Drosophila melanogaster: one gene and its partners. The protein of the gene in region 3 interacts with the protein of the main gene of each other region in a biochemical or structural test. Each region holds a gene or a part of one and is shown on either strand. Other genes may lie near its edges. The genes, in order: trx, HP1c, His3:CG31613 and Su(var)3-9.

Region 1 (8,751 bases), on a different chromosome or scaffold from region 3:
AGGGGGAAGGCTGTCGAGGGGGGGGGGGTTGTGGCAGAGGCTGTGGATGGAGGAGGAGGATGGGGGTGTTTAATACAAAGAGGCCAAGAGACAATCGGCCAACAAAACGAACAATCTCCCGGCAAACAACGAACAACGAGGCAAAGTAAAACTGGCCTGGCCAATTCGAAATTCGAATGCATCGTCATCATCATCATCACCGTCTCCTCGAAATCGACAGCCGAACGAACACGAAGATAAACGAAAATACTAAACCAAATTTGACGGGGGAGAAGAGGGTATGGAGCAAAATGAGAGAGAGAGAGAGAGAGAGAGCAAACGCACACACCTTTAATTTAATTGCCATCAATTATGGTAAAAAGATTAAGAAATCAAAGCAAGCGCAAAAGGTAAAATAACTTGAATAAGAAGAATGGGCCACCAAAATGAAACTGAATACGAGCACTTAACGAAATTAGATAAAATATTTTAATTGAATAATGTACATCGATTTGAAGAGTATATCAAAGTATAAGAATGCTTTTTGAGTTGCAATATGATTGATTGCTGAGATTGGCAGCAGATTATAAACCTTTTCCCAACATTATTGACCTATAAATAGATCTAGTTTAAAAACAAATCCCATATCAAATCAATCGGATGACAGCATGTCGAAATAATGCCACTTTATTTCACAATGATAAGTATGTTCGTCTGAGCTGCGAAGTGATATGAAAACTTGCTCGTAAATTGCTTAATTGATTAAAATTGACATCTAATTATACGTTTTTTGTTGTGTACCAGTAAACCCCAGTACACATAGCCCCGTCTCTGTCGCACTGCATGCCAATAACCGCCAAAGAGGGGCGAGCACAAGACTTGCAAATTGCGAGTAATTGAGAAGATTAAAGTCAAGCACACGAGAGCAGACAGAGATGGCAAATGAGTGGGAGGGAGAAGGAGACTGGTGGGAGGGGGCCCGGTCAAAGAGAGGGAGAGAGAGTCAGGTAACGAATCGACTGGCAAACGATTAAAGCCATAAACACGAGCACGACAATCACAACAACTTACATACAACACAAACAGCTACCAAATAGACAACTATCTGCATGCCACACACACACTGCTGCACAAACTCGATTGACAAGTTGGAAAAAATCGAAGTCAACCTCGCACATAAAATATGTAAATTTGTATGAAATTATTCCAAAATGTCGTTTATAAATGATCACTGAAAAAAATGATCGTAAATGGGAGGTAAATTAAATGAATTTTAAGCCCCACAGTCACTCCATAACTTTTCCTACTCCACTTATTAAATATTCTTTGAATTAATACATAATTATTTGATCAATAATTGGCAACATTAACCGCAAAATTTTTCTCAGTACAACAATGAGAGAGCCCAGAGAAAGCAGCTGTAGAGGTGGAATCAACAAATGAGCGTGAGCCCCATTCCCCAAAAACAAAAAGAGCGGCAGAGAGCACACGCGGGGGAGTGTATGTTTGTATGCTTGTGCACACACACATACACCGTATTTGCTTGTAAATCAAAACACGCAGCCAAAGGTGAAACATGAAAAATGTGCGCGCCAATAAATGTGCGAAAGGTGTCGTGGTGTGGGTGCCGCATGGATTGGTGTTGGGATGGATGGATAGAGATGGTCGGATGGATATCTGTATCTCTGTGGGCCATGAGCATTGGGCATTGAATATTGAGAGCCGACTTGGCAGCTCGCAATTTTGATGTCCAATTTGCCACGAAACATGAACTAAATACTTGTACGCGAATGTTTGTTTGCGTGTGTGGGCATCTGGTTTCGTGGTGTTTATGCTGTGTGTTGGTGGTGGTGGTAAAAGGTAACGAAACACAAGGTAAAATAAATTCAACTCAGCTGGCAGCTGCAGCCTCTCAAAACGCACTGTAAATAAAGGTGTAAATACAGCTAGCTGGTAGCAACAATGCAAACTAATAATTCGGCCACCGAAGCAAATAGAAATCACACCTACAGTGATCGCTCGCTAAGCGAAGCATTGTAGTGCTCATGTTTTAGAAAATAGATTATCTTGGAGAAGAAGAACAAATAAACAAATGACTTTTTTCGATTTTACAATAGGAATTATGTAAACAAGGATATTTTAATTTAAACCCGTTGAAAATGTCCCATCAAATGATCTTAAAATTTGTATTTGTGAGTAGACCCATCCGAATTCAAATGTGCAATGATTCTGTGAGGCGTGATCGACGAGATGCGGACGCAGTGGAGCGTGAAAATGCATTCGGATGAGCATCGGTTGGCCCGCATCGCATATTCATTCCCATTCAAGATCTCGCATTAGCTTACGGCTCAGTTGGTCGACTTTTGAAAGGCGAATTTTAATATGCGCAATTACTCATTTGGCGATTTTGCGCCTCAATGTTGTTTGGCGCGTAGTTTCCCACACACAAACACACAGGCATCGACACTAGCCGATTTGGAATTTGCCTTTTTGATGGCAAATAAAAAAATGGCGTCAACAAATACTCAAACAGCCAATGTACAAGTACATATATTTATTTTGTAATTATTCAACAGCTTCTAGGCAGCGAACGGCAGCGGCAATCGATTTAGCTCCTGCTGCTGCTGAGATCGTTTTTCATTTTATTGTATAATTTATTAAAAGTTTCAACAGCGCCAGCAACAAAACAAACAGCAATTTTAGTTATACAAACACTTTGGCCATGTGAGCCCAATAGAGAGAGAGAGAGAGAGAGAAAGAGACGGTGAGAGCGAGAGAGTGATTTGATTTAGAATGAGGCGACAACAAAAGCAATTAACTGGTCACACATTAAGTTTTATTTATCGGCGATGCTTTATTATAGCTCGCCGCTGTGTGTGTGGGTGTGTTAGCGACTGTCATTTACCGTTCGTTTTACGGGTGGTAAATAATGGAAAACGTCGTAGATGGAAACTTGCAGTAAAATCCCCCTGGCTAACAGAAAACGAATAATATTGTTTCTTATAAGAATGAAATATTTGATGGATTAACTTCAGGAGTCATATGATTATATGATAATAGATGTACTTATTTTAAGCAAAAAATATTTCGCCTCCTCTTTAAACTGTTAGTATTAGATTAAAATAAAAATATTAACTAATGAATTCGTTGTTAAGAAAGTTGTTATTAAATCAACAGGTTTTCCAGAAACAAGACTTGCTTACTAGTACTACAAAATAGAACAAAACTAAATCAAAAATGCTACCATCTGCTGCTAGTCGCACTCAACGAGGTCCCACTGTAGACATAAATCGCAGCGTGGGCCATAAACTAACAGTATTTGTTGTGCAGCCTAATTTGCATTATCGAGTGAATAATTGAACGACACTTTCCTATTCTTTCTAGCTAAAAACAACAATCTAAACTACTGACTAGAGGTCTACAAAGGTTAGTGGGGACTTTATGAATATGAAATCGACGGGATGGGATATGATAATGTGATGTGGTGTGCAATGGTGTACAGTATCTCCGGGTGCATTCCAAATCAATATCTGGCATGCTTATATATGTGCGCAAATATCCATTGATATATATTCACGGCAGACTGACTCATCGGCAGCCGGCGACGCCTTTTATCGCGGCGATCTTATAATTACCTTGCTGTCGAGCGTGTATCCAGATGCAGATTGAGATTCGATACCGTTTCAGGGGTTGTTGTTACCATTTGGCATCCTTGGTGCACGAATATAATACGAAAACGAAAATAATCCACACTTGGGACAATTTCACAACAAAACGGGACAGAAACACACGCACTCAAAACACTAGTAAACACAAAATACAGGGGTGGAGATTGCGATTTTCGTTTTTATTTTCGTTCACTTATTTCTTGGTTTTTGCTTTGGCTCTCACATTCGCCGCTCTCTCACTCTGTCGCTCTGCGCTCACAAAACAAACGCACAGGTACACGCACACACGAACCGAAATGGCCCGCTCTCTTGCTATTTCGTTCTCTCTCTCGCGCCCGCGCGTTTCGTATATACATATGTTGCTACGTATGCGCGTGTGTGTGTGTGCGGGTGTCTGTATGTATGGGTTTTACGACGATGAAAAATGCCTGCTTCTTCTTCACAGAAATCAGGTTTTCTGCTCTCGATTTTCACACTTTTTTAACAATTGAACGCCACAAATTCGATGTAATTTCATTGGCAGACACTGCATACCATATTCACACACACTATTTAGCACAGTTTATCAATTATTTTCCACATTTTCTGCGTTTTTTCGACGAGCGAAATGGAAATAGCAAAGCAAAACGACCGGACAGTGTGACCGCGCCGATAACTATAAAAAATACTGTGAGACTTACAAATAAATTCATGTGTGTGCAGACCTGGTCACACCGATATTTTAGTAGGGTGTCTCTGCTCTGCGGGGTGTGTGTCTTGGTTAAATACGGAATGTGTCTCTGCTAGTTCAAAGACAAAAGCGTATTGCTACAAAACAGTATTTTTCAAAATTTAAAACCACTTTCGGTGTAACTGCTAATTTGTTTAATTTGTGGTAATTAAAATGTTTAGAATGGAGTGTACAAAACACATTAACCTTGAATTTTTGAATATCCAATATTATCACACTTTCCGTTCAATATAATTTTTAAGTACCCTTCGGTATCTTATTGGGAAAGAAGGAAAGAAAAGAAACCGCTTCGGTAAACAATTTAAAAAACAGGAGATTTTCCTAGTCCACATTCTAAGTGGCAAATATCAATCACCTCATTGGCAATTCCATTATGCCAGTATATGAAGTTCGGATTAGTTGCGATTTCATAATGAAGCCATAATGTGCGGACACACATAAACAACTTGTCAGCTGCGTCCACTTCGCATTTGGTTCTTTGCCAAAGTTATTAACCAATTTTTTGGGAAGACACCCAAAGGCTTTATGCATTCGCAAGGCGCGATGTAAACAAATAGATTTTGGTCAACGAATCGAACGTGTCCGCTCAATTAGCACATATTTGATTCACAATGTAAATCCAACTGTTGCCGGGCGAGAAGCGTAGGGCGGTAATTCGGTGGCTTAAATCGACGTCATTTCGACGACGTTTCACCGAAGTGAACAAAAAATTCGCAGGAAATTGAATCACTGAGCGCCTGTAAATTTCTTGTTCAGTGACAAAAAATGGTAACCCACATTCAGAAGATGTTATCTCACAAAAAGGCATTGCAATTAACCTTATTAGTATAGAAAGTTCACCAAGAAGGACGTGTTAATAGTTGTGGCCTGAATTTAGTAATTACTTATGTAAATAAAAATAATAAATAACTAAATATTATCAAAATAATATAATAAAATAAAAAAAGTAATAATAATGAAACTATAATCATAACAACCATTATTGCTAGTAAATGAAATAATTCAAATGAATGCTAATAATAGGTACTAAATCAATTTCCCTGGCATTCCTTCTATTAAACACGAAAACATAAACAAATTGATCAACTCCTTGTAACTTGGACTATCAGCTATTGGCAACACGGGCAGATCGAGCTTTGTTTTTGGCAGCTGACGCATTCCGCACCTCATGGTTAGTCGGTCCGTTTAGGTGCGCAGTGATAAGGGGTATCGATAACAATATATGTATATCTAACATGGATTACCTTGTACTGTGACAGTCATTCGGCGCTTATCTGGGCCGCAAACAACACGAATTCGTTGGCCTAATCATAATGAAAGTCTTGTTTTGACAGCAGCAGCAGAAGCAGCGGGCGTATAGCCACTATCACCGGATTTCCAAAAATAGTTCTTCAACTTTTACCGCAATCTGCAATGCAAACGATGACGTCCGCGTTGGTTGGAAAATTTCCAGCTCATCGCTGAAAAAGGGATTCCTCCACAGATCGTGGGCTTATCATGCATGCTAATTAATCCTATGACGAACTCGGGAAAAAAAAAACAATAAAACCTAATAGAAAACGCGAGGAGCTTGATAATCATTGTACTTGTGCACCTGTCGCCGTCATCCAGTTATCATTTAATAATCAAGATGAGTGCCAGAAAAACAGAGAGAGCTGCTTAAATGATTATCACAAGTTTGCGGGTACATACTTACATACATACGATTATTTGCGTACAGTGTGTGCCATCTATATAATATTTTAGTTTAGATTATTAAATGCAAGCTATTGTCATGAAATCTAATAAACTTAATTTAATCAATTTAATCTAATAAAATCAACATCCAGTTAAAACATGGTTTTTGTAAGGGACACCACTGCGTATGAGTGATCTGAAGTGGGAAAGTAAATTAAGTAAAGTAAAACTCGGATGGTTCATCACACCATGCAACCACTGTGCCTGTAATATTCTCTTTCCCTGCTGGCTAGTCCAACGTGTTTGCTATCACCATTATCACTCGAATTAGGCACAATCATCTAACGAATTCGTATGGCCCCTATGGTGAGTACTTGGAAAAGTAATTCCAGGTTGGAGAAGTGAGCAGTGGAAGCAGTGGAGGCAGTAAACCAACATCCACGAATCGAATGAGTATTTGTGTGCACTTCCAGTGCGCGATAATGCCATTCTTCAATTCCAGCCGAAGAAACCGAAAGCCGAGAGCCCAGCTGAACGCCCAAAGAGAGTCTTCTGGAAGAGAGTCTACCTCGCCGGCGGCGGAGAATCGTCGCTCGTCGCTTGTTCGCCAGTCATTTCAGCAGTCACTTGTTTTTGAGTGCTGCTTGGAGTTGGTCGCTCGCCTGCTGCGCTCTTAGTTGTTTTGGCTAAGTTCACTTAGTTAGTGCCTTCGTTTAGCGGCGAAAAAGCTGGAAAAAAACGTATAAAATATATCGCGTTGTCGTCGCCGTCGTCGTCGTTGCCGCTTTTGTATCTGTGTTTGTGAGTGCCGAAAAGATGAATATATAGAAATACACACAAATAAACAAAAATATTATAAAAAGAAGAGTTGCTATTAAGTGAAATATATGCACAACAATTACTTAAGTTAGAGAACGGTTACTGTCGTTGCCATGGGACAAACGTAAAGCCTCGATTGTGTGTATTTACACACTCGGTGATCTGCGCTGCTCCTCTCACTCATTTGTATTGTTTCAAAACAAAAAAACAAGGCGATGGAAAACTAGAGAAACCATAAACAAAAGCTGCTCGTTGTTGTCCCACAGAAGCAGCAACAATCAAATTAATAACTTAAGTAACAGCATCAACACGAACGACGGCAGTTGGAATTATAACAAGAAAAATCCTACAAGTTAATGGATATTTTTTTCCTCTAGATAAAAAGTAACACAAAAAGTCAACTGGCAAAATATCACGAATGGCGGTACATACAAATTTCAATTTGTCGCAGCCGGAAAACAAATTCACATACAGTTCAAACTCCATAACTCGGAATTCCCAAAGACCTTCACTCTATGTCACTTTTTTGAGCTTTATTATGTTCATAAGAAGTCGGTACAAGTCATTTTAAGATATATTTTAATAAAATTTGAAACGAATATTATGAATTAGGGCCAATTAAAAGGGTAGTGTTTATTCTTAACGGAACTTGAAAAAAGACTTTTAATAGCATATTTGTTTGCACCAACTTTTTCTATAATTTTGCTGAAATTTAACTTCCTTTTCTACCGCATTATTGATTATTATATAATGTGACAATATATAAACATGTAGTAACAAGTTCGACTTACTGTGGCTCGACTGTACCCACTCGCTCACACACGTCACCGGCACACTCCCACTCACGCACACACCCACAAAGTGACGCCCACGAGGTCTGGAGATTTGCACAAGTGCAGAGGCACACACAGACAAACAGATAGAAGAAAAGACAGAAGAAACGAAAGAGGAGTGAGCACAAGAGATTTGTTGTTGCCAGCCTTGACTAGAAAAGTAAAGCCCCAAACTAAAGTAAAGTCTGTTAAATAATTACTCGGAAGTTGCACAACCTCGTTTGATGGCAGCCACCGAAAAAAAAAACCAAGAAACATGTACCAAGAAATCTCGACAAAAAAAAAAATACCCACAGCGTTTAATTGTTTCATAATTGCGGAGTGAATTCAGCTGATAACGGGACAGACAAAAACGAAAATGAACCAAAGTTAATTGCTATCAGTGAGTGCAGTGACCGTACTTAGTATATTTTATGTTCTTCGATGCAGGCGATCCAGTGTGAAAAGCAGAAAAACAGACAAGCCCACGGAAATGGATTACATTGTGAAGGCCTACAAGGATTGGAAACTGCATTCGCAGGTGAGAAATCTAGTTAATTATACTATTAGTTAGAAAGGTAAGCACTCAAGGCTACCTACCTGTATGTAGGTGTCAATCCCAATTACGAGTTCATAATTATGAAACAGGAAACTGGTAATCGACTTACAATTAGGGCGTATACAAATCACAGATGGAATTACAATCGTCAGGTGGCAAAGTGACTTACAAATTAAACCGAACAAAAGAGACAACAAATATCATGACACTTTATAGTAAGCTTTGCTAATTTGTGGTATTTATTTAAAAAGAAAACACTATTTAACGGTCGAAGGAAAAGTGCGAAAATGTGGGTTTTGCAAGGCAGCTAAAGTGGTTTTGTAAAAGTTAATATTGTCTCATATTTTTTTAATGTAACTCCCAACAATCGAGTCTTAACGGCTTTTGCCCCTTCAAAACGCTTTTGCCTGTGGCAATCGGCAAACGGCTGAGATGACGACAATATTGTGGCTTTTTTGCAGAAGTGAAGCCAACTTCTGCGCTTTTTGCGATCATTAATATTTTTAT
Region 2 (7,186 bases), on a different chromosome or scaffold from region 3:
AATCTCTCTGTCCGCATTCCATGCATTTTTGATGTCCAAGATTTAGAGAACAACTCGAATATTTTCCTATTTATATATATAGCATTTATACAATCTTTATAACAATCGAAAGCCATTTGTTTTAAGACTCAAAGTTTAAAATATATTTGGAAGAAATATGTAAATTCTCTTTAAATTTTAATTATGACCCAGCCAAGGATATGCTTTTTAGTTGGAGCCCTAATCCTCTCCTGCACTTGCGTTTCGTGCTCCAAGGACAAATGCGCTGTCAACGAACACAACCCAAACTCAAATAGTTAACTATATAGAATATAATATAATATAACCTTTTCAAGATTTGTATCCTTCAGCCAGCTACGACTTTGTGCCGCACATCCTGCACGCCCTGGCGATCCATCGACCCTGCGTAATCGGTGATCCGAAATGCCTCTGCCATGTGGCGACCATTCAAAGGGATTTGGAACCGTATGTGGACAAGGGGATTACACCTGAGATGATGGCGCAATCCAAACGATTGGGCACTTTTTACCAGATAATCCGTGGACGCATCTATCGCCAGCAGAAGTGCCTGCATCCCAAGCGATGTGCCGATGTGGAGGATCTGCTCTTGGACATGGCCAGTGGTGTGGCAGACCTGGAATTCGTTCTCAATGTGCGCGACTGGCCGCAGGTGCACTTCCTATCCGGCCTAAGTGGTCCGGTGTTTTCCTATTCCATCACGAATCGCCACCTGGACATCATGTACCCAGCATGGTCGTTTTGGACCACCACGGGACCCATCCTGCAGCACTATCCCCACGGTGTGGGTCGCTGGGACTGGATGCGAAAACATTTGGTGGCCAGGGCGTCGGAGTTGCCGTGGAGTGCCAAGCGCGCTATTGGTTTCTTTAGGGGCTCACGATCCTCGCCAGAACGCGATAGTCTAGTCAGGCTCTCGCAAAGGCGTCCAGACCTGGTTGATGCCCAGTACACGATACTAGCGACGGATGCCGATCCCGTCGAGAAGATGCCTTTGGTCGAGCACTGCCAATTTAAGTATCTGTTCAATTTTCGCGGTGTGGCCGCCAGTTTCCGGCTGCGGCACATACTGCTCTGCCGCTCGCTGGTACTTCATGTTGGCGACCAGTGGCAGGAGTTCTTCTACAGCCAACTGAAACCCTGGGTGCATTACGTTCCCGTGGCCAGCGACGCCGATGTGGATGAGCTGGCGGAGTTGATTCTATATCTGCGCGAGCACGACGATCTGGCGGAGGAGATTGCGGAACGGGGACAGCAGTTCATTTGGCTCCACCTCCGAATGGAGGATGTGCAGTGCTATTGGAGTAAGATGCTCCAGGAATACGCAAAGTTGCTCACTTATAAAGTGCAACGGGAGCCGGGACTTCTGGAGGTATCCAACAAGAAAGCGGTGCAGCTGTACCGCGGAAAATAAACTTAGTATTTACAATCTTAGTTTTGTACCAAAAAATAAAAATCTGTATAATTAATTTTAAATTCAAATTTAAATCAGCCAGTGCTGCCACACCCAACAGCCAACTCCCCCCACTAGTGTGACCACACACAATCCTGGGTCAATTGTTACGTCACTGGCCAACAGCTGTTTGAAAGTTTTGATTTGGATTCGCTAGCATTACATGGATTCCGCATCATGGCAGCGCAGCTGAATCCATTCCGCAATGCCTTCCGGCTGCCGTCCAAGCAGCGCATCAACTGGTTTCCCGGCCACATGACCAAGGGTATGCGGCAAATTCAGCAAAAACTACGAAATGTAGACTGCATAGTCGAGATTCACGATGCACGCATCCCATTGGCGGGCAGAAACTCCCAGTTCTTTGACACAATCACCGGTGAGTACGTTTACAACCATAAGCTGCCACTTAATACGGGACTCATATTCCCCAGGAAGTGGTGTTAAACCGCATATTCTGGTGCTGAACAAAGTCGATCTGCTGGGCGCCAAACAGCAGAAGAGCGTGCTCCAGCAGCTGAGGAGACAGCAGCCCGAACTGCAGCACATCCTGTTCACCAACTGCAAGGATCAGCGCAACAACGGCGTGCTGGACATCCTGCCCCTGGCAACGCGCCTCGTGAGCGAGAGCAGTCGCTTCAATCGCACCCAAGCTGCCGAGCACAATCTGATGATCATCGGCGTGCCCAATGTGGGCAAGAGTTCCGTGATCAATGTGCTGCGAAATGTGCATCTCAAGAAGAAGAGCGCCGCACGCGTGGGTGCCGAGGCGGGTATAACTCGATCCGTCGGCGAACGCATCAAAATCCAAGAGAATCCGCCTGTTTACATGATCGACACACCCGGCATCCTCCAGCCCTCCATTAAGGATGATGAAATGGGCATGAAACTGGCCCTGGTGGGCTGCCTTCCCGATCATATTGTGGGCGAGGATCTGATAGCCGACTATCTGCTGTACTGGCTGAATAGCCACCGCAAATACGACTACGTGGAGATGCTAAAGCTCAGCTCCGGACCCAGTGACGACATCAGCGCCGTGCTGGCGGAGTACGCTCATCGGGAGGAGCTATTCCACAAGGTCAAGCAGTACGACGGACGCGTGGAGGTGATGACAAATTTATTGGCGGCCGCGCGAAAGTTCATTCACTTCTTTCGCTCCGGCCAGTTGGGTCACATGAATCTGGACGAACCCAGTGGTTTCAGATAGCTATACATATGTATGAATTAAACTTAGGGGCTTAGATTAAAGACTGAACAGTCGATTCTGCTCGCGTCCTTATTGATTTTCCGCCATGGGCACATCGATGGCAATGTCGCCAACGCCGGGCACGGGAATCGAGTACGAAACACTAGCCAAATCGTCGGTATCATTGGCTAGATCCATGGGTGCATGGTGCTGCGGCGCCTGGTCCACCTGTGGCGCGATTCCACCAAGATGTCCAGCCAACTCAGCGGACTGATCCACCTCCGGCGGCACTTCGACGGGCGCACTGCTAATGTGCGGATAACTGGTGCGCGAGGCCGCCAAACGCAGCTCCTCCGGCACGCCCTTCATTCGCATCGCAATGTGACGGGAGTAAGGTGCCATCTTCTGGAAATAGTCAATCAGCATTTGCGGATCCTTCTCCACGATCTGTGCCGATGGCACCAAGTCGAACTCGTCGCAGAACTGCCAGCGCACCAGATACTTGATGTCGCCCGTCACATCCGTTGCGCCCACGATCTCGGCCAGCTCCAAGCCGCGCTCGTAGCCGCGCAGCTTCTGGATCTCTTCGCACTTGGGTTTCTTCTCGCCGCGCTTCTTGGACTTGGCGCGCGACTCCTCGAATTTCTGGATGAGATTCGGGCAATCGCAGTTCTCCTCGGGCTCCCAGGTGTTGTCCGCCGACGTGTAGCCACGCCACTTGATGTAGTACTCAACCTTGCCTTCGCTGGTAATGCGCTTGTCCATGATGCGCTCCACCACGAAGTTGGGCTCGTTTTTAACCATTTTTTATTGTGTTTTTACAAGATTGTTTACAATATTTAAAATCGGCTTGGTTTTTTTCACTAGTGCCAGTGTGACCGTTTGCTGACTTCAACAACAGTTACAATAGCAACATACTTCTGACAGCATAGAAAACGGTCACACTCGCACGCGCTTGCAATTCGAATTCAGGTGAAATTTTAAAGCTCAGGTGCAATGGAATCCGAATCCTCGCAGGATGATTGGTCCGCATTCGATCCAATGTCCAGGGAATACTATGACCAAGTGGGCAACCGTTACACTAACGAGTCTGGCCAGAAACTAATCATGGAAGCCCCGCTGCCGCCAAAGGACGAAAAGGAGCAACGTGCCACCAGGCAGGCGAAGTATCCATACTTGGTGGTTCCAAAAAGCAGTCCCTATGTGACCGAAAAGATGCTAATCAACTTCTTCGGTCGGGCGCTCATCAAGGAGATGGAGTTCCGCCGCTTGTCACGCGTATACTTTGTCTACTTTGAAAATATCGCGTGAGTTTCTTCAAGCACTTTCGCAGGTCATTCAATATTTCGAGCGTATAATCCTTTTTCCAGATCCCTGGAGACAGCGCAACAGCGGGTGCAGCGTTACCCGAACCTGATCAAGTGCATCACTGGTCGCCCGCAAAAGGAGCGGGAAATCACCAGCGATCCGGTGACTTCCACTGAGCCAATGCCAACACCAGGCCCAGCAATTTCGGCCACTGAACGTACGCCAGTGAATCACAACAGAGAGGTTCCGATCTCGACCGGAGGACAAAATCATCCGGAGTTCTTCCGGCCACCGCTGGTCACCAAAGATGATTACAAAAGAGGTTCATTGTTGGCCACCAACGACCCCATTCAACGCTATCTCAATGTAAAGTACGAATTCGCACTGGAGCGCCATGATATCTACAAGCTTAAGGATGAGACCAGAATCCCGCAGGTCGTTCTGCACTTTCGTTCGGGCAGAACGATTCCTTTGTTAGTATAGCCACCTGGTCACGTGCCCTTGATTAGCTAACGAGTATAGTTTCTGCATCACTCAGGTCAACGGTTGCTGTCACCGAAGAGGATAAAACTAAAAGCCTGCTGGAAGACGGCGTCAGCAAGTGCGTGGTTTGTCAAAACTGGACAGACACTTTCTGCAAGCTGTGCAAAATGCCCTTCTGCAATGCCTCCTGTTTCGCCGATGTGGCAGAGCAGCATAAGCAAGCTTGCGGCAAGGGTGAGATACTTAACCTTGACGAAAAGGTGGGCCGGAAGTACCCCAAACCCGGCTTGCCGCCGTCTGGATCTAAAGTGAGAATTACTGCATTCGAGCAGACTAACGTGGTCTATGTGCGCTCGGCGGACATTCAGATTGACATCGCCTATTATACAGTTCTCACGGAGGTAATGATGCTGGGCAAAGATGCCTCCAAACTGCAGAGTACGCCAGTCTGCGGACAAATTGTGCTCTACAAGTTCGAGGGACATATGTCGCGCGCCATGGTGCTAAACGTGGATAATATCAAGGAAATCTATGTAGTGTTCATTGATTTCGGAAGTGTTGAAGTCACGCAGCTGGAAAGACTGTATGAATGCAGTTCGTATTTAGCTGGTTTGACCTGCTATCCCGTAGCCGTTAAATTACGCGGAGTTCCCAGGCGCTTTGTGGGTCCCAACATAAGGGAAGTCATGTACGAACTCGACCAGTCCCTAGTTTTTAATATCAAGTACTCGTCACGTGAGTACGATACCAGCAAGGGCATGCAGGTCGTGGTGATGACCGAGATCGATATTAATAGGAGCCTCAACCGCCTTTTCAAGACCATCCTAACTCCTGTTGAGCCGTCTGTCTCGGACTTGGGATACAAAGAGGACGTAAGCCAGAACTTAAAAAAACATCAAGTACACAGTTGTCATTTGCATTTATTCGGTTTCAGTGTCTTCCATACATTCCCTTGCACTGCGGAAAGAACATAAATGTAGTGGTAATGGACAACACATTCATCCAGTGCGGCTTTATCTACTGCACCTCCATAGATCTGGCTTACGAAGTCACCAAAATGCAGCGAGACATACAGGAGTATGGTGAAAAGATTGCCAAGTGCGCAACCTACGCACCGCCGTAAAGTTACTCGCCGTTTTCTTTTGTCCATTTAACTAAAGCGCTCTTTCATTTAGGATAAATGAGCTTTGCATAGCTAAGTACGAAGGCAAATGGCGTCGAGGTCTCTCTGTGGAGTTAGTAGGAGATGGTTATCCCAGCATTTTGTTCATTGACTACGGAAACATAGTGCCAACACATGTCACCGACATACGTCCCTATCCGCCGCAGTTTATCTTCCCTATAATGACCACACAGTTGGATTTAATTGGTAATTAGGCTCTCCAAAGATAATTATATTATTTATATGACTCGATTTTCGTAGGAGTGCCTGAGAAGCCCACCGATGAGCAGATCAAATGGCTGGATAAAAATTATCCCATTGGGTCCGTTATCACCTGCAGCGAAATCACTTTCGACGAGGAAACAAATAGCTACTCCACTCGCATTGAAAAACTGCAGGAGTTCTTAAGTTTGGACTAAGTTCTCAAAAGGTTGATTCCGCGAAATAGTTCAGAACTAATTATGGCCAAAAAAAAGCACAAATCTTCCAGGTTAACTCAACTGCTAAGCATTTAGTTCAACAAAATAATTTTGTTTACATTTATATTCTTGAAGTTAACGTTTTGTTTGTTTAAGTTTTTACTCTCACTTTTCTTGAATAAACCAGTTGAATACAATCCAGACTATCCGATATAGCAGTTTCCTGTAAGGTCACATTGATTTACGCAATTTAAGTTAGTAAAATGTAATACAAATCTCACCTCAAAGAAAACACGGTCAAAAGGTGGCTCACTTTTGGTCCAGTCCGCTAGATTCTATAGGTTATCAATGCAATAGGTGATTTATTAATATGATAAGAATTCGAAGTACTCACATTAGATGCGGTCGGTATAAGCTGGCTGCGGCAATTCTGAAGATCTTCTATAGAATCATCACCCATATGCCCATAGAACTGCAACTCCTCCGGAGAACCTCCGGCTGTGATGAGAGTATATATTTTGGTATCCATTGCTCCAACGGCCAGCAGTTGGTTGGCTTGCTGCCTGGAATTGTGATTATAAATAATTAGGTGTTTGCAGCGAAGAGCTCGAAGCGCCGACAAGTCACTGGTCAAAATCAAGCCAATCATTGGTTCTCCATCGGCAAGAGAATTAAATAAGTTCACTTTTTGGGGACCATCTAGCTGCGCATGGTCCAAACTATAACTCTGACAGTATCCCCTGACCAGGGTGAGGCAATCCTCACTGTTTGCCAAGATGCAGCACTTCTCGCCTCGCTCCGCCACTAAGTGATCCAGCATTACGTGTAGAAACTCGAACTTGGCGGAGTCGTAAAGTCCCATGCTTGGCCAAGGCGGCAGTATGGCGTCCAGTACCTCCATTATTTCCTTAAACACTGGATTCGTACCCAAAGTTTTTAGGAGCACAGGATGATCACATACAATTTGGAAGATTTCCTTCAACGTAGACGATTCCTGAAATACAAGTTTTTTGATTTGTTTATGCATGTAAATTGGTCTAAATCTATCTTACTGTTTTAGATGTTTGTGCATATTCAGAAACAAAGAGTAATATTTTTTTCTGCAGTTCAGCTGGAGTTAATAGACACAGATATTCCGATTGGGTGAACTCCTTGGTAGG
Region 3 (6,817 bases):
AACAAATTTCAGATCTATAAATCATAAATCTAAAATTTCAATTGCGAACATGTACCAAATACTGCACTTTTTCACAATTTACTTTTTGGCAGCCGTAGTCTTCGCTTTCGGCTTCTTGGCGGTAGCAGAAACCGATGCTTTCTTCACCGTCTTTTTGGGTTTTGCAGACACCGCTGGCTTTGCCTTTGACGCTTTCGCTACTACAGCCTTTGGCTTCGCTGCAGTCACTTTCGCCTTTGTTGCGGCGGGCTTCGACTTTATGATTCCAGTTTTCTTGGCATCCTTGGCTTTTGCCTTCTCAGTTTTCTTATTTTCGGCAGTCTTTTTGGTAGCCACAGCCTTCTTAGCTTTGGGCTTTTTGTCAGCAGCCCCAACGGCAGTTTTTTTGGAGGAGACACCAATCTTCTTAGAGGCTACCTTCTTGCTTTGAACTTTTTTCTCAGCAGACAAAACCTTCGACTTTGCCTTCGGATCCTTTTCCTTCTTGGCAGAGGCCGACAGTTTGAAAGATCCAGATGCACCCTTTCCCTTAGTTTGAATAAGCTTTCCATTGACCACGGCCGATTTTAAGTACTTCTTGATGAATGGCGCTAACTTTTGGGCGTCGCATTTATAAGTGGCAGTGATATATTTTTTGATTGCCAGAAGTGATGAACCGCCACGTTCCTTTAAATTTTTAATGGAAGCGTCCACCATTTGCTGAGTTGGCGGATGTGACGGCGTCGCAGAGGCTTTCTTTGCCTTTGTGCCAGCAGATCCAGATGCCTTTTTTTGGACCACTTTCTTCTCAACTGTCGCTGGTGGGGCAGCCACTGGGGAAGCGGACGTTGCAACTGCAGAATCAGACATCTTTTTTTCACTGAGAACACTTTTTTTCTGTTAAAAATGGCTCGCGCGCTGCCTACCAACCTCCTTTGCTCTGATGAGAATCGAGGAGGAGAGCACTTTAACAATGCTACTGACATCAGTCATTTACTATGTCAAAGTTTGCTTGAAGTGTAAACTTTTATTAATTTTTTAGTATTTTAAATCATTAATAAAAATAAGGTTTTAATAGTTCTACACTTTTAAATAATTTTTTCGTCACTTTCCATTTTTAAAAGGATGTAATATGGGTTTTGAGACTTTCAAATGTTGATTGAATTTTTATATTCAAATTTTTAACTGGACCAATTTATAAAAAAACATCTAATAAAATAAGAATCATTGCAAATATTTCACTAATTCGTTATGTTTATTAAAATTGAAACGTTCATCCCCTAGAAGGGCTTCTGAAAGAAGCGTCTATTATTAATTAAGATACTTTATTACTTGATTTAAGTTCACATTGAACTACAGAAAAATTTGCTTTAAAGCAGCATTCAGAAATAATTTTCGATCGTTAAAAATACAGATACTTTCTTAAATAACATAATATTAATATAATAAATAATATTTTCTTAAATTATTAATGTGTTTGCTTGTTATTAATGTGTTTTCATGCATATTTTAAAATAATTTGTTCTGAAATCAATCGATTTCCTCGCCACATATGCATTACCGTCTATGTAGTCAAATAAATAAATCAAATAAAAAATAAAAAGAAACAATTTTTGTATTATCCTTTATTATGTAATATATATTACATTCCGCAACAAAATTAGCCAATTTCCGTGCTGAATTTTACATAGGTTTTATTTTTTACAGGCGTTTGAAGGGACAGTGTCAATTGTCCCGTACGACCTCTTCAATAATAACACTTTCTTCAGTTAACACATGGAAAAAATATAAAATAGCTAGTTTTATTTTATTATTTTCTGTTATTTTATAAATATTGCCGTCATCAATGTAATTTCATTAATTTCAAACTGTCTTACACAGAATTCAGATTTTTTTTTAGATGTTTAAGGTTCAGAGTCCCTTGCCCCGCACGACACTTTCACTGCTTTAAAGGATGTTCGCACAAAGAACAAATAAAAATATATATTTTTATATATATTTTATATTTATTAACCTCTTCTTTAATTTAATAAATGTTGAGCTGACAATTAAAATAAGATTATTTTTATTCCTTCTCTGGCAGAATTAGTATTTTTACATATGATTTAAGACCCAGTACCGTTTGCGCCATAAATAATAGAATATGAATTTTGTTCTTATTTTTTTTAAGTTATAAATAGTCGGCAACAGAAAATTTTATCTCATTGAATCTGGTTTGTGGTCCTGAAAAGGACCGATTATAGAGTACGCTAGCGCTTTATCTGCAAGTTAATGCCGTGTCAGCTTAAGCACGCTCGCCGCGAATGCGTCGCGCTAACTGGATGTCTTTGGGCATTATGGTGACACGCTTGGCATGAATGGCACACAAGTTGGTATCTTCGAAGAGACCAACCAGGTAGGCTTCGCTAGCTTCCTGCAGAGCCATAACCGCCGAGCTCTGGAATCGCAAGTCCGTCTTAAAGTCCTGAGCGATTTCACGCACCAGACGCTGGAAAGGCAGCTTGCGGATTAGAAGCTCGGTGCTCTTTTGGTAGCGACGAATTTCACGCAAGGCCACGGTTCCAGGGCGATAGCGGTGGGGCTTCTTCACACCTCCGGTGGCTGGAGCACTCTTGCGAGCGGCCTTAGTAGCCAGTTGTTTGCGTGGCGCCTTTCCACCAGTCGATTTGCGAGCAGTTTGCTTGGTACGAGCCATCTCCGATTTGGGTTTCACTAAAGTTCACGTTCACTACTTCACGTTTGAAAACACAATAAACGATCAGAGCATTTGCTACCTACTTATATAGCAATCGTGGACGGTGAAAGAGAGAGAGAGAGAGAGAGAGAGAAAAACGGAGGCCATTTCATTTGACGAGCGAAAAGCGAACGAACATATCGTTCGTACTCTCTCGGGTTTTTGTCGTTTTACCTATAAATAGGGGCACACAGAAACGTTGAAATTAGTTCTTTAGTGACTTTCGTGCTGTGCGTGTATAATAGTATAGAACAGTGAAAAATGACTGGTCGTGGTAAAGGAGGCAAAGGCTTGGGAAAGGGTGGCGCCAAGCGTCATCGCAAAGTGCTGCGTGATAACATCCAAGGTATCACGAAGCCTGCTATCCGCCGTTTGGCCCGTCGAGGCGGTGTGAAGCGCATATCTGGACTCATATACGAGGAAACGCGTGGCGTTCTGAAGGTTTTCTTGGAGAACGTAATTCGTGATGCCGTGACCTACACGGAACACGCCAAGAGGAAGACAGTTACAGCCATGGATGTTGTGTACGCTCTGAAGAGGCAAGGCCGCACCCTCTACGGATTTGGCGGTTAAAAAGTGTACATCCTGTGTACCCCTATTAAGCAATCGGTCCTTTTCAGGACCACCATTCAGTTTTTAAAAGGAGGAAGATTTTCAAAAAGTATTTAATTTTATTGGTCGGGACTCCCAAAAAATATGTTAAACTAAAAATAAATGTCTGTCGTTCGTACTCTTTTAAATAGAATGTGTATTTCTAACATGGATTTGTACAGACTGTACAAATGGTTTCAGACACCGCATGTACAGCATCACATCGTGGTGTGCGATTGTTTAAAGAAGCAAATTATAGTTTATACCGCATATAGTAGAAAACCCTTACTACATTACCATCTTTACGTTAATAATTCTTTATGATTTACTAATTACAACAAATTGCCAAGCTAAAAAATTTTTCAATTCTTTGGTAATAATTTGGTCGTCCTGAAAAGGACGGTTTGATTGACGATTTTATGTACATGTAGGTTTTTAGCTTAGCCTTTGAAACGTTTAGGCCTTCTTCTCGGTCTTCTTGGGCAACAGAACAGCCTGTATATTAGGCAACACGCCACCTTGTGCAATTGTGACGCCGGAGAGCAGCTTGTTTAACTCCTCGTCGTTGCGGATGGCCAGTTGCAGATGACGCGGAATAATTCTAGTCTTCTTGTTGTCACGAGCAGCATTGCCAGCCAACTCGAGAACCTCAGCGGCCAGATATTCCATTACGGCAGCTAGGTAAACTGGAGCGCCTGCACCAACACGCTCTGCGTAGTTTCCCTTCCGGAGCAAACGGTGAATACGGCCCACAGGGAATTGAAGACCGGCACGGTTTGAGCGGGACTTTGCCTTTCCCTTCACTTTGCCACCTTTTCCACGTCCAGACATTTTGCTTTGCGTTTATTTCACTTAGTTCACTTTACGCACGGAACACGAATGCTCGCCTAACCCAGACAGCGAAATATTTATACTTTTCCGTTTGCCTGCGCATTCAGTTAGGGGTGGGTGACTTAGACCTGAATTGACTGCTCGAAAAAAAGTATAAACGTGAACGCGTTCGGGCCCACATTACGATAAGTGAATTGTGTTTGTGAAAATATAAGTAACGTGAACAATGCCTCCGAAAACTAGTGGAAAGGCAGCCAAGAAGGCTGGCAAGGCTCAGAAGAACATCACCAAGACCGACAAGAAAAAGAAGCGCAAAAGGAAGGAGAGCTATGCCATCTACATTTACAAGGTTCTCAAGCAGGTCCATCCTGACACCGGAATTTCGTCGAAGGCGATGAGCATAATGAACAGCTTTGTAAATGATATTTTCGAGCGAATTGCTGCCGAAGCGTCTCGTCTAGCTCACTACAACAAGCGCTCGACCATCACCAGTCGGGAGATCCAAACGGCTGTTCGCCTGCTTTTGCCTGGAGAGTTGGCCAAGCATGCTGTCAGTGAGGGAACCAAGGCTGTCACCAAGTACACCAGCTCTAAATAATTTTCTCCTGCGAATGCGGACAATAATCCAAAACGGCCCTTTTCAAGGCCACAATGTGTTATACCAAAGAAATGCATTTTTCAACTACCAATCATCGAATATGAATTTACAAATAAAACTTATTTACCCGCAATATGGGTAATTGGGTAATGTTCAAATAAATACAAAAAAATCGGGAACGAAAACTGAATGCGACCAACATGCAATGTAATTCATGACATGAAACGTTTTATTGTTGCTGCGAACGTCAGCTAATAAATAAGTGGAAGAAAATAAAAGTTTTTTTCTCTTGCAACGGAACGTTGTAGCCCTGAAAAGGACTTGTTTAAACAAATTTCAGATCTATAAATCATAAATCTAAAATTTTAATTGCGAACATGTACCAAATACTGCACTTTTTCACAATTTACTTTTTGGCAGCCGTAGTCTTCGCTTTCGGCTTCTTGGCGGTAGCAGAAACCGATGCTTTCTTCACCGTCTTTTTGGGTTTTGCAGACACCGCTGGCTTTGCCTTTGACGCTTTCGCTACTACAGCCTTTGGCTTCGCTGCAGTCACTTTCGCCTTTGTTGCGGCGGGCTTCGACTTTATGATTCCAGTTTTCTTGGCATCCTTGGCTTTTGCCTTCTCAGTTTTCTTATTTTCGGCAGTCTTTTTGGTAGCCACAGCCTTCTTAGCTTTGGGCTTTTTGTCAGCAGCCCCAACGGCAGTTTTTTTAGAGGAGACACCAATCTTCTTAGAGGCTACCTTCTTGCTTTGAACTTTTTTCTCAGCAGACAAAACCTTCGACTTTGCCTTCGGATCCTTTTCCTTCTTGGCAGAGGCCGACAGTTTGAAAGATCCAGATGCACCCTTTCCCTTAGTTTGGATAAGCTTTCCATTGACCACGGCCGATTTTAAGTACTTCTTGATGAATGGCGCTAACTTTTGGGCGTCGCATTTATAAGTGGCAGTGATATATTTTTTGATTGCCAGAAGTGATGAACCGCCACGTTCCTTTAAATTTTTAATGGAAGCGTCCACCATTTGCTGAGTTGGCGGATGTGACGGCGTCGCAGAGGCTTTCTTTGCCTTTGTGCCAGCAGATCCAGATGCCTTTTTTTGGACCACTTTCTTCTCAACTGTCGCTGGTGGGGCAGCCACTGGGGAAGCGGACGTTGCAACTGCAGAATCAGACATCTTTTTTTCACTGAGAACACTTTTTTTCTGTTAAAAATGGCTCGCGCGCTGCCTACCAACCTCCTTTGCTCTGATGAGAATCGAGGAGGAGAGCACTTTAACAATGCTACTGACATCAGTCATTTACTATGTCGAAGTTTGCTTGAAGTGTAAACTTTTTTTAATTTTTTAGTATTTTAAATCATTAATAAAAATAAGGTTTTAATAGTTCTACACTTTTAAATAATTTTTTCGTCACTTTCCATTTTTAAAAGGATGTAATATGGGTTTTGAGACTTTCAAATGTTGATTGAATTTTTATATTCAAATTTTTAACTGGACCAATTTATAAAAAAACATCTAATAAAATAAGAATCATTGCAAATATTTCACTAATTCGTAATGTTTATTAAAATTGAAACGTTCATCCCCTAGAAGGGCTTCTGAAAGAAGCGTCTATTATTAATTAAGATACTTTATTACTTGATTTAAGTTCACATTGAACTACAGAAAAATTTGCTTTAAAGCAGCATTCAGAAATAATTTTCGATCGTTAAAAATACAGATACTTTCTTAAATAACATAATATTAATATAATAAATAATATTTTCTTAAATTATTAATGTGTTTGCTTGTTATTAATGTGTTTTCATGCATATTTTAAAATAATTTGTTCTGAAATCAATCGATTTCCTCGCCACATATGCATTACCGTCTATGTAGTCAAATAAATAAATCAAATAAAAAATAAAAAGAAACAATTTTTGTATTATCCTTTATTATGTAATATATATTACATTCCGCAACAAAATTAGCCAATTTCCGTGCTGAATTTTACATAGGTTTTATTTTTTACAGACGTTTGAAGGGACAGTGTCAATTGTCCCGTACGACCTCTTCAATAATAACACATTCTTCAGTTAACACA
Region 4 (9,647 bases), on a different chromosome or scaffold from region 3:
ACTTTCAGTTTGACCATCTAAATCAAGAGCAAATCCTTAAGAGTCTAGGCAGCGGTCTGGATGACATCGGTGTAGAGCTTGACCTTAGTGGCAATGCTCATGTCGACGTACTTGTCGCCAATGGAAACGATCAGGCCACCAATGATGCTGGGGTCCACGCGGGAAGTGATCTTCAGAGACTCGTTGCCCTTCAGGAAAGACTGCAAAGCAAATGAGCAATAAATTGAGTGGGTGAGACAAGACAGAAGCTAGGCGTAGCTACCTTAAGGGCACCCTCCAGCTGCTTGCTCTGGGACGCATCCAAGGGCTTGGCGGTGACCACCTCGCAGACGACCTCACCGCGATGTGCGGCCATGATGGTCTTGTAGGCATTGATCACGGTGTCCAGCTTCTTTAGACGTCCGTTGTCAGCCAGCAGACCCAACAGATTGACGGTGGCCGGGGCGAAGCGGAGCTTCTCGGATGCCTCCTTCAGAGCGGTGGCCATGACCTTCTTGTTGATGATGGGGCTGGTCACGTACTCGCGCAGCTTCTTGTCGCTACGGATGGTGGCCTGCAGGGCCGTCAGATCCTTCTCCACCTGATCCAACTGGCTCAACTTGGAGGCAGCCGAATACAGGGCGGTAGCATAGCGACCCTCCAGACCGAACACCTGCACTGGTGGCTTCACCGTCGCCTGGGCGGCAGCGGAGCTGAGGGTGCGGCTCTGCGGGATAAGCAAACAAGAGCACTTGGTAAGTTTTTCGGCTTATTAAACATAAACTACCCGCGGTTCGTGGGTTAAGATGGGCAAAAATTACATAACCAAGAAACGCGCGTTAGATAATTCTACATATGCGACAGCGGGTTGCAAACGCAATAAAAATTTGACATGCACTTAAAATGGCTTGGCATTGACCGGAGCTTGTTCACTTTTTTCTATTTATTCGCATTATAACATACCAAAAGTGCCAATTTGTTAATAGAGGCCATCGTTTTTATCCCGACAATTTTTCAGCTAAAAATCTCAGCTGTGACCAGGGCTACGTTACTTGCTACTCGACGTGTGGCAGGGTTGTTTTGAATGGCGTAAGGGTTGCAGGACAGTTATCGATTACAAAAAATAGCTAGATTTTAAGATTTATACTAGCTAGTTAAATAAAAGCGAATTTTCATTTTAAAAATGATATTCTGACTTTAAAGTAATTCTTAAAGGATATATTAAAAGATAGGTATTTCTGGGTACCCAAAATCTACCTTAATAGTAACACCTCTAATTTGCTATTAAATAATTAATTAATTAATAAATATTAATTAATAAAGTAATAAATTATTTTATAAACATCGAATTGAATACTTTGGTAATTCTTTACTTACATAAAAAGACACGGCTTGAGATTCGATTTACGTCTTTTTATTTGTTTTAAATTAATTTAATGGTGATTCTCATTTTCTGCTGCTCTTTAATGGATGTATGACTTTTGCTTATTTCGAAACCTAAATATGTCCTTAAATCGTTGCGAATATGTAAATGTTGCATAACCATCGGGAAAACTATAGTTGCCAGTGGTTATAAACAATGTGGGCCTTCGGTTGCGAGCGATTTGAAATTGCATTAATCAGTTTACTTGTCATCTAAAATGGTTGGTTAGGTGGTTAGTAAATTCCTTCTGTTCAAAAGGCACTCCATTAGCTTACCCTCATCCTCTTCCTCTTCCTCGCCTTCTCCATCCTCACCGTCCTCGTCGTCAAATGCCTCCTCATCATTATCTTCGTTGTCCTCCTCGTCCTCGGGCTCCACCTCGATATCAGGTACCAGATAATACTGCAGTGGATTTGGCCAAAGGTCGTCTTTTATCAGTTCTGCGATCTCGTCGTTGACGGGATCGGTGTTATCCGAGAACCAATCGAAGAAGGTTTTGTATTCGGAGTTGCGCTTCTTCTTGTTTCCGTACGGCTTTGTCAGCAAAAGTTTTAGCAGGTTCTTTCCCTCCTTCCATTTGATGGGCGTGCTGGTAGACGCGGGCCAGTCTCCGTTCTCGGAAGCAGCTTTAATTGAAATAGTAATGGGTTAGCTAAGCGGATTTGAATCAATCGTTGGGAGAACTTACCCGCTGAATTCAGGTGGAACTCTTTGGTGAGCACCTTGTTTTCGAAGTAAGGATTCTCGTCGAAATGGAAGTTGATGCGGTAACCCGATTTGATGTCCTCAAACTCCTCAACCTCAAGTTTGTTGAGCGCGTGCAGGCACTCCTCCTCCTCCTCGTCCAGAATGCCGGATACTTGCGGGTGGTTGATAAACTGCAAATATGGCAGTTGGGATTAGCTAGGGGATGCATGCTATCAAGCAGAAAGCCATGTTTATGGCCCCTATGGCACTACTTTTCTTTTCAATTATGGCAGCAAATATTTCAGTGGTTTTTGATTTGAAGCCATTTTGAACTGTGCTATGTTGTGTATTTCCCGGCCAGACGGATATATCGATAGCACGATTTTTCCGGGAGGGGGAAAATGCGCGGGGAGCCGGTGGTGTCGGCATTGCAGCCCAAAGATGAACAAGAAAAAATGCCTCGAATAGAGAAAATTTCTTGTACATGTGTGCAGCGATTACCATCACTTCAGGGCTTCGAAAGATCTAGTCGGCTCCACTAGAACCCATCAGACGAACACGCGGAGGGGACAAACATGGCCGCGGATCGAAGTACTCACCGAGGTCACCCAAAAGTTGGGGATGCGCTTGACCAGCTCGCTGCGCTTCTCGTAGCAGGGCTTCCGCAGCTTGTTGTACTTCTGCTCCACCTTGAGGATCTCCTCGCTGGCCTTCTCGTTCAGCGCATCGATCTCGTTCTGGCAGGCATCAATTTGCTCCAACGCCTCCGACTCCTCCTCGTTGTTACCGGCGGCGGCGGATGTGTTGCCATCGGCGGGGGCGCCGTCCAGCTTGGCTCGCTTTGGCACGCTCGACATTCTGCACGCTCTTCCGTTGTGTGTACGCTCGTAATTCCCGAGATATTTGAACAAAAAGCGGCGGTACAGTTGAGCAGAAGAGAAGCGAAGCGGATTTTTAACCTTTCGTTTGCGGCTGAAGAACTGTAAGTGTATCGATAGGGCGGCACTCTATCGATACGCATCGCAGTTGGGCACCGGTGTGACGTGTCCAACACTGGCCAACCATGATTAGAGCACTATCGATAGGCATTGTCGGGTCCAATCGTTCTTCGATATCGAGATTTGATGCCGAGCTGTAATAGCTGAAAATTATTATTTTCATTTTGCATACGCATCGTTTTTGAAAACATCAGCAACATGGCCACGGCTGAAGCCCAGATCGGTGTGAACAGGAACTTGCAGAAGCAGGACCTCAGCAACTTGGTAAGCAGCCAGCAAAGACGACCGCCAGACGCCGCCTTCCCTTTTTTTCCGCCCGTGTGTGAAAGTATACGCGTCGTCATTATGGAGCCGCTTCCCGGAAAAACAGCGGGGTGCGGGTCGCAAGGACGCGCCCAGATTGTCTCGAACGGTTCGCGGACCAATTTCGAGGGATATACCAGTGGGTTTCGCCAGGGCCAGCAGTGATTTGTTGTGGGTGAGAGATCACGGTGAAAATGCAGCACGTGGCGCTACATTTAGGGTCTGTTTGGTTTATCCCGCAACTTTGGCTCTGCATATGGGCATGATGCGGACTCTGGCGGTATTTGGGCTCTGGCAAGCAGATCAGTTTCGCGAGGACTACCTGACTGTTGTCATCAATTTTGAGTTGATGCAATTCAAGCGACATTCTAACCTCAAAATTGACGGCTTTCCTATATACACACATGCATCTGAGAGGGGATGTTTTGTTAGGGGGTGTGGCGGCGGTAAACAAGACTTGTGCTCTGATTTTCCTCTATTAAAGCGCCTTTATTTATCGTATTGCATTTGGAATCTTGCAGGACGTCTCTAAACTAACGCCTCTATCACCGGAGGTCATCTCCCGACAGGCGACCATCAACATCGGCACCATCGGTCATGTGGCTCACGGCAAATCCACGGTGGTCAAAGCCATATCCGGCGTGCAGACTGTGCGCTTCAAGAACGAACTGGAGCGCAACATCACAATCAAGCTGGGTGAGTCAGGGATCCGTGTAAGCTAGCCTAAGCATATAATCTTAAGATGTATTATTCTACTTGATAATAATTTAGCCGTATGTTAATTCTTCCTGCTCGCCCGTAAACCCCGTAGTGCCCTAAGATTGTAAACCTTCTCGGCTGGCCGAAAATAACCCATAATTATCTTAAGAACCACTTTTTAACACCGTATCGCGACGGCACACCGCGTAGCCAACTCTGTCGCTGCTTTACATCGAGATAATGTTGTAAAAGGGTTCTGCGAATGATTGTCTCTTGTAATTCGAATTCTTGTGTATTTTGTTAACTTAAATTGCTGGATTAGCACGCGTTGCCTTGTGTCGTCGCCTAAGTAGTCTAAAATGATAAAAGAAGTTGTCTTTAGAATGTTGTACTTTACAAAGCTGAATTAAAAAGCGTTCCCAAAGATTGGTATTAAGCATATCTTCCTGTTAGCTTAGTCTTGAATCTGTTACATTGATTGATACGACTGATCCAGCAATTTAATTAATTGCCAATCTTTTTCTTCTTTTTCCCTATTTCTCTTGTTTTTACGATTTTTTCGGTTGCGACGCGTCCGCCAAATAAAAAAAAAAACACACCAAACCCATCATCCAATCCACAATTGTCCAAAACTTGTCATTTGCAGAACGCTTGAGCGAAAAAAAAATCAAAAATCTTTTGACCTCCAAGCAGCAGCGACAGCAGTATGAAATCAAACAGCGTTCAATGCTGCGCCACCTGGCCGAATTGCGGCGACATAGCCGATTCCGCCGCCTCTGCACCAAGCCAGCTTCGTCTTCCATGCCAGCATCCACCTCCAGTGTAGATAGACGCACCACCCGGCGAAGCACCAGTCAGACCTCACTGAGTCCAAGCAATAGTAGCGGCTATGGCAGCGTTTTTGGCTGCGAGGAACATGATGTGGACAAAATACCCAGTCTCAACGGATTCGCCAAACTGAAGCGTCGACGCAGCAGTTGTGTGGGCGCCCCAACTCCCAACTCCAAGCGGTCGAAAAATAACATGGGAGTAATTGCCAAAAGGCCGCCCAAAGGAGAGTACGTTGTGGAGCGTATTGAATGCGTCGAGATGGATCAATATCAGCCAGTCTTCTTCGTCAAATGGCTGGGATACCATGATAGCGAGAACACCTGGGAAAGTCTTGCCAACGTGGCCGACTGCGCCGAAATGGAGAAGTTTGTGGAGCGGCATCAGCAGCTCTACGAGATATACATAGCCAAGATAACCACTGAGCTTGAGAAGCAGCTGGAGGCATTGCCACTAATGGAGAACATTACGGTGGCCGAAGTAGACGCCTATGAGCCACTCAATCTGCAGATCGATCTTATACTGCTCGCCCAATATCGCGCTGCTGGCAGTCGAAGCCAAAGGGAACCGCAGAAAATTGGAGAACGAGCCCTGAAAAGCATGCAAATCAAGCGGGCCCAATTTGTACGACGCAAGCAGTTGGCTGATCTAGCATTGTTCGAGAAGCGCATGAATCATGTGGAGAAACCGTCACCGCCAATACGTGTTGAGAACAACATTGATCTGGACACCATAGACAGCAATTTCATGTACATACATGATAACATAATCGGCAAGGATGTGCCCAAGCCGGAAGCGGGGATTGTGGGCTGTAAGTGCACTGAAGACACAGAGGAGTGTACTGCCTCTACGAAGTGTTGTGCCCGCTTCGCCGGCGAGCTGTTCGCCTACGAGCGAAGCACACGGCGCTTGCGCCTTCGTCCCGGAAGTGCCATCTATGAGTGCAATAGCCGCTGCTCGTGCGATTCAAGCTGCTCCAACCGTCTGGTGCAGCACGGACGCCAGGTACCGTTGGTGCTGTTTAAGACCGCCAACGGCAGCGGATGGGGGGTGCGAGCCGCAACTGCCTTGCGTAAGGGTGAATTTGTGTGCGAGTACATTGGAGAGATCATCACCAGCGATGAGGCAAATGAGCGCGGCAAGGCGTATGACGACAATGGGAGGACATATCTGTTCGACTTGGATTACAACACAGCTCAGGATAGCGAGTACACTATCGATGCAGCTAACTATGGCAACATCTCGCACTTTATCAATCACTCTTGCGATCCTAATCTCGCCGTGTTCCCCTGTTGGATCGAGCACCTGAATGTCGCGCTGCCGCACCTCGTGTTCTTCACACTGCGTCCAATCAAGGCGGGCGAGGAGTTGAGCTTCGACTACATTCGCGCGGACAACGAAGATGTGCCCTACGAGAACCTCTCGACAGCTGTGCGTGTCGAGTGCCGCTGCGGAGCTGATAATTGCAGAAAGGTCCTCTTTTGAATGGACTTGAAGTACTATATTTAAATGGCACGCCGTTACCCACCTGAGACATCATTGCATTGAACCTTTTTTTTTTTTGTTAACATATATATATATTACTAGTTGGATTTTATATTCCGACGTTTTAATTATTTATTTGTTAATAAATGCTAATATCGATATATTGGATCTATATTATGTTTGAGGATCTATATTACTAGAGGATAAAACGAGTAATTCTATATAGTTTGTACTTGTATACATTTCATAAACTTAAATTTTAATTTAGTAATAACTTAGTGTTTTGACAAACAACCTTGTAATGTGCTGAAATTATTACCGCATTAAGTGCAAATTATTATTTTACAATAAATATTTTACGATTATTAAGTGATGTTTGTTTGTGGCTGTATAAATGATCTGGAAGGATCAAAGAAATGAATTTAGTTAGCAATAGCACTTAATTCCTTGTGAAGAACGAAGGATTATTTTACGTGTTTGCCAGGCCAGGAGTTCGAAGAATGTATTGTAATATTCTTCATAATTATTATCGCATTGCTTTTAGGTTATGCCAACGCCAAAATCTACAAGTGTGACAACCCCAAGTGCCCGCGCCCGGCCAGCTTCGTATCGGATGCATCCAGCAAGGACGACAGCTTGCCCTGCACTCGGCTCAACTGCTCCGGCAACTTCAGACTGGTGCGACATGTGAGCTTCGTGGATTGCCCCGGTCACGACATTCTTATGGCTACCATGTTGAACGGTGCTGCTGTGATGGACGCTGCTCTGCTGCTCATTGCTGGTGAGTAACCCTGGATCTCTCTGAACCGACAAAAGATATACAAATTACTACCTATTCCATGTGCAGGCAATGAATCCTGTCCACAACCGCAAACCTCTGAGCATTTGGCCGCCATTGAGATTATGAAGCTGAAACAGATTCTGATCTTGCAAAACAAGATCGATCTGATCAAGGAGAGCCAGGCGAAAGAGCAGTACGAGGAGATCACCAAATTCGTCCAGGGCACCGTAGCTGAGGGCGCTCCGATCATTCCGATCTCGGCCCAGCTTAAGTACAACATCGATGTGCTCTGCGAGTACATTGTGAACAAGATACCAGTGCCGCCGCGTGACTTCAATGCCCCGCCCCGTCTGATCGTCATCCGATCCTTCGACGTGAACAAGCCAGGCTGTGAGGTGGCAGACCTTAAGGGCGGTGTGGCCGGTGGCTCCATTCTGAGCGGCGTGCTGAAGGTAGGCCAAGAGATCGAGGTGCGTCCGGGCGTTGTGACCAAGGATAGCGATGGCAACATCACCTGCCGTCCAATCTTCTCCCGTATCGTCTCGCTCTTCGCCGAACAGAATGAGCTGCAGTACGCCGTGCCCGGCGGTCTGATTGGTGTGGGCACCAAGATCGATCCTACGCTGTGCCGTGCCGATCGTTTGGTCGGTCAGGTGCTAGGCGCCGTTGGCCAGCTGCCGGACATCTACCAGGAGCTGGAAATCTCGTATTACCTGCTGCGTCGCCTTCTCGGCGTCCGTACCGATGGTGACAAGAAGGGAGCGCGCGTTGAGAAGCTGCAGAAGAACGAAATCCTGTTGGTTAATATCGGATCCCTCAGCACTGGTGGCCGCATCTCGGCCACCAAAGGTGATTTGGCCAAGATCGTTCTTACGACGCCTGTGTGCACGGAGAAGGGCGAGAAGATTGCACTCAGCAGACGTGTGGAGAACCATTGGCGGTGAGTATACAGCCCCCCTTAAATTGTATTTGAAATCACAACTTAATGATGTATTTTTTCTCCTCAGTTTGATTGGCTGGGGTCAGATCTTCGGAGGCAAGACAATCACACCCGTTCTGGACAGCCAGGTGGCAAAGAAGTAGAATTTAGTTAGGATCCGAATGGTTCTACTTTTAAGAACAACATCAGCGGCAAAAGTGGCAGCATCATCTTTATTAGGCCTCTTCACACTGCTCCTTCTTGTCCCACAGCTCCATTCTTCCCGTGTCCGTTGATCAAACCGAAACTAATTAGTACCAACATGAAATACATACCTAACTTAATTTATTTTATTGAATTTTGTTGTCGAGTATGTATATAATATGAAAACACACGATTCGCTTGCGAGTATTGTGCATCTATAGCAGAATCAGGCATTAAAAAAGCAACTAATAGGGTATACCTTTATATATTATAATAACTAAAGGCAAATCTGATACATCGTAAAATTGTTTTTATGATTTAAATACAAAACAAAAACTAAACGAAAAAAAAAAACAAATTGTATTGCATTTTTTACAATTAAAACCGCAAGAACTGACTTGTTATTTTGGGACTTTTGGAGTGGAGTCGTTTATAAATTCTGCAAATTTTGGGAAGAACGCAGATAAGTAGGCTATATAAAACGCTAAATAAATGGAGAAAAAAAGCAAAGTCAACTTCTTGTTTATTTTTCATTATAGACCAATTTATTTTTCCACTTTTAGTTCAATTAAATTTAAATAGTTACAATACGATGTTTTTTCAATAACACATTGATACTCGTAATATTCTGTTGTTTAAGCAATTATTCATACAAATCTCAATATCGTTTTTGAAACACAATGTCCGTCAGCAGCGATTCGACTTCGACATCGATTGTGTTGAATAATTTTTGAAACGTTTTCTTTTTCGATTTGGTAAATTTGTTTTAACTATAGCACACTAATTTAATTTTAATGTATTTTTATCCTTTTGTAATTTTAAACTACTATTACCAAGTACTTTTTAGTTTAATATTTGGTTTCTTGAGACTTTGTTTATTAGTAAATATAGCTTATTGAATAAAAATTCGTACTTAGCCGTGATGTACATATTTGTTTGTTTTGGTTTTACGGTTGAAACTAAATTTTGATAAATGACTCTCACTAATAAGTACATATATTGAAAAACGTTTGATTTCATTCGTTAATACTATTGAGTAATTTCTGTAATACTTGTATTTTCAGTTTGCTAAATTACGCCCCCGAAATTGGGGAACACGATTGCGTTGTGGTCAGTACACGCTTTGAGCATTTGATAACAGAGTCAAGTCTTCGTTGAACATACATACAATATCCGAACTTAAACAACAAATTGTACAATTCATGCTTGTCGGTCGGCATATAGCTATGTTGTTTCGTTTATTTATTTTTTTTTTTTTTGAGCATCCGTTGAACACAATACAGTTTTCAGGTCAGAGATCTATTACAACCAAAAGCGGAACAGGAACCGTTTTCGAGCAAG

Evidence for each region.
Region 1: of the proteins of His3:CG31613 (region 3) and trx, one has a biochemical effect on the other in vitro, tested with the Drosophila melanogaster proteins (4 studies listed by BioGRID).
Region 2: the proteins of His3:CG31613 (region 3) and HP1c form a complex in vitro, tested with the Drosophila melanogaster proteins (2 studies listed by BioGRID, with this or other methods).
Region 4: of the proteins of His3:CG31613 (region 3) and Su(var)3-9, one has a biochemical effect on the other in vitro, tested with the Drosophila melanogaster proteins (3 studies listed by BioGRID).

The regions. Positions count from the first base shown.
Region 1 is NT_033777.3:14,282,595-14,291,345, forward strand, and holds the start of trx (trithorax), read right to left. Parts: upstream 4,310-8,751; 5' UTR 3,615-4,309; intron 1-3,614. Other genes in the region: red malpighian tubules, read left to right, coding at 8,179-8,226. UniProt on the Drosophila melanogaster protein: Histone methyltransferase that methylates 'Lys-4' of histone H3 (H3K4me). H3K4me represents a specific tag for epigenetic transcriptional activation.
Region 2 is NT_033777.3:22,741,989-22,749,174, reverse strand, and holds HP1c (heterochromatin protein 1c), read right to left. Parts: upstream 3,556-7,186; 5' UTR 3,459-3,555; coding exon 2,745-3,458; 3' UTR 2,676-2,744; downstream 1-2,675. Other genes in the region: CG31139 (uncharacterized protein), read left to right, coding at 184-295, 351-1,432; CG17141 (uncharacterized protein), read left to right, coding at 1,649-1,847, 1,903-2,675; vret (vreteno), read left to right, coding at 3,651-3,961, 4,025-4,435, 4,501-5,317, 5,380-5,564, 5,621-5,814, 5,869-6,026; CG6985 (uncharacterized protein), read right to left, coding at 6,178-6,249, 6,308-6,361, 6,421-7,020, 7,079-7,186.
Region 3 is NT_033779.5:21,421,107-21,427,923, reverse strand, and holds His3:CG31613 (histone H3), read right to left. Parts: upstream 2,732-6,817; 5' UTR 2,675-2,731; coding exon 2,264-2,674; 3' UTR 2,203-2,263; downstream 1-2,202. Other genes in the region: His1:CG33804 (histone H1), read right to left, coding at 79-849; His4:CG31611 (histone H4), read left to right, coding at 2,975-3,286; His2A:CG31618 (histone H2A), read right to left, coding at 3,761-4,135; His2B:CG17949 (histone H2B), read left to right, coding at 4,362-4,733; His1:CG31617 (histone H1), read right to left, coding at 5,140-5,910.
Region 4 is NT_033777.3:15,256,986-15,266,632, reverse strand, and holds Su(var)3-9 (suppressor of variegation 3-9), read left to right. Parts: upstream 1-3,174; 5' UTR 3,175-3,285; coding exon 3,286-3,351; intron 3,352-3,695; exon of another isoform or gene 3,696-3,794; coding exon of another isoform or gene 3,795-3,836; intron 3,837-3,911; coding exon 3,912-4,086; intron 4,087-4,735; coding exon 4,736-6,402; 3' UTR 6,403-6,769; downstream 6,770-9,647. Other genes in the region: ATPsynO (ATP synthase, oligomycin sensitivity conferring protein), read right to left, coding at 45-200, 263-706, 943-972; Set, read right to left, coding at 1,604-1,614, 1,678-2,028, 2,091-2,280, 2,689-2,946; eIF2gamma (eukaryotic translation initiation factor 2 subunit gamma), read left to right, coding at 3,286-3,351, 3,912-4,086, 6,947-7,183, 7,250-8,123, 8,191-8,266. UniProt on the Drosophila melanogaster protein: Histone methyltransferase that specifically trimethylates 'Lys-9' of histone H3 using monomethylated H3 'Lys-9' as substrate.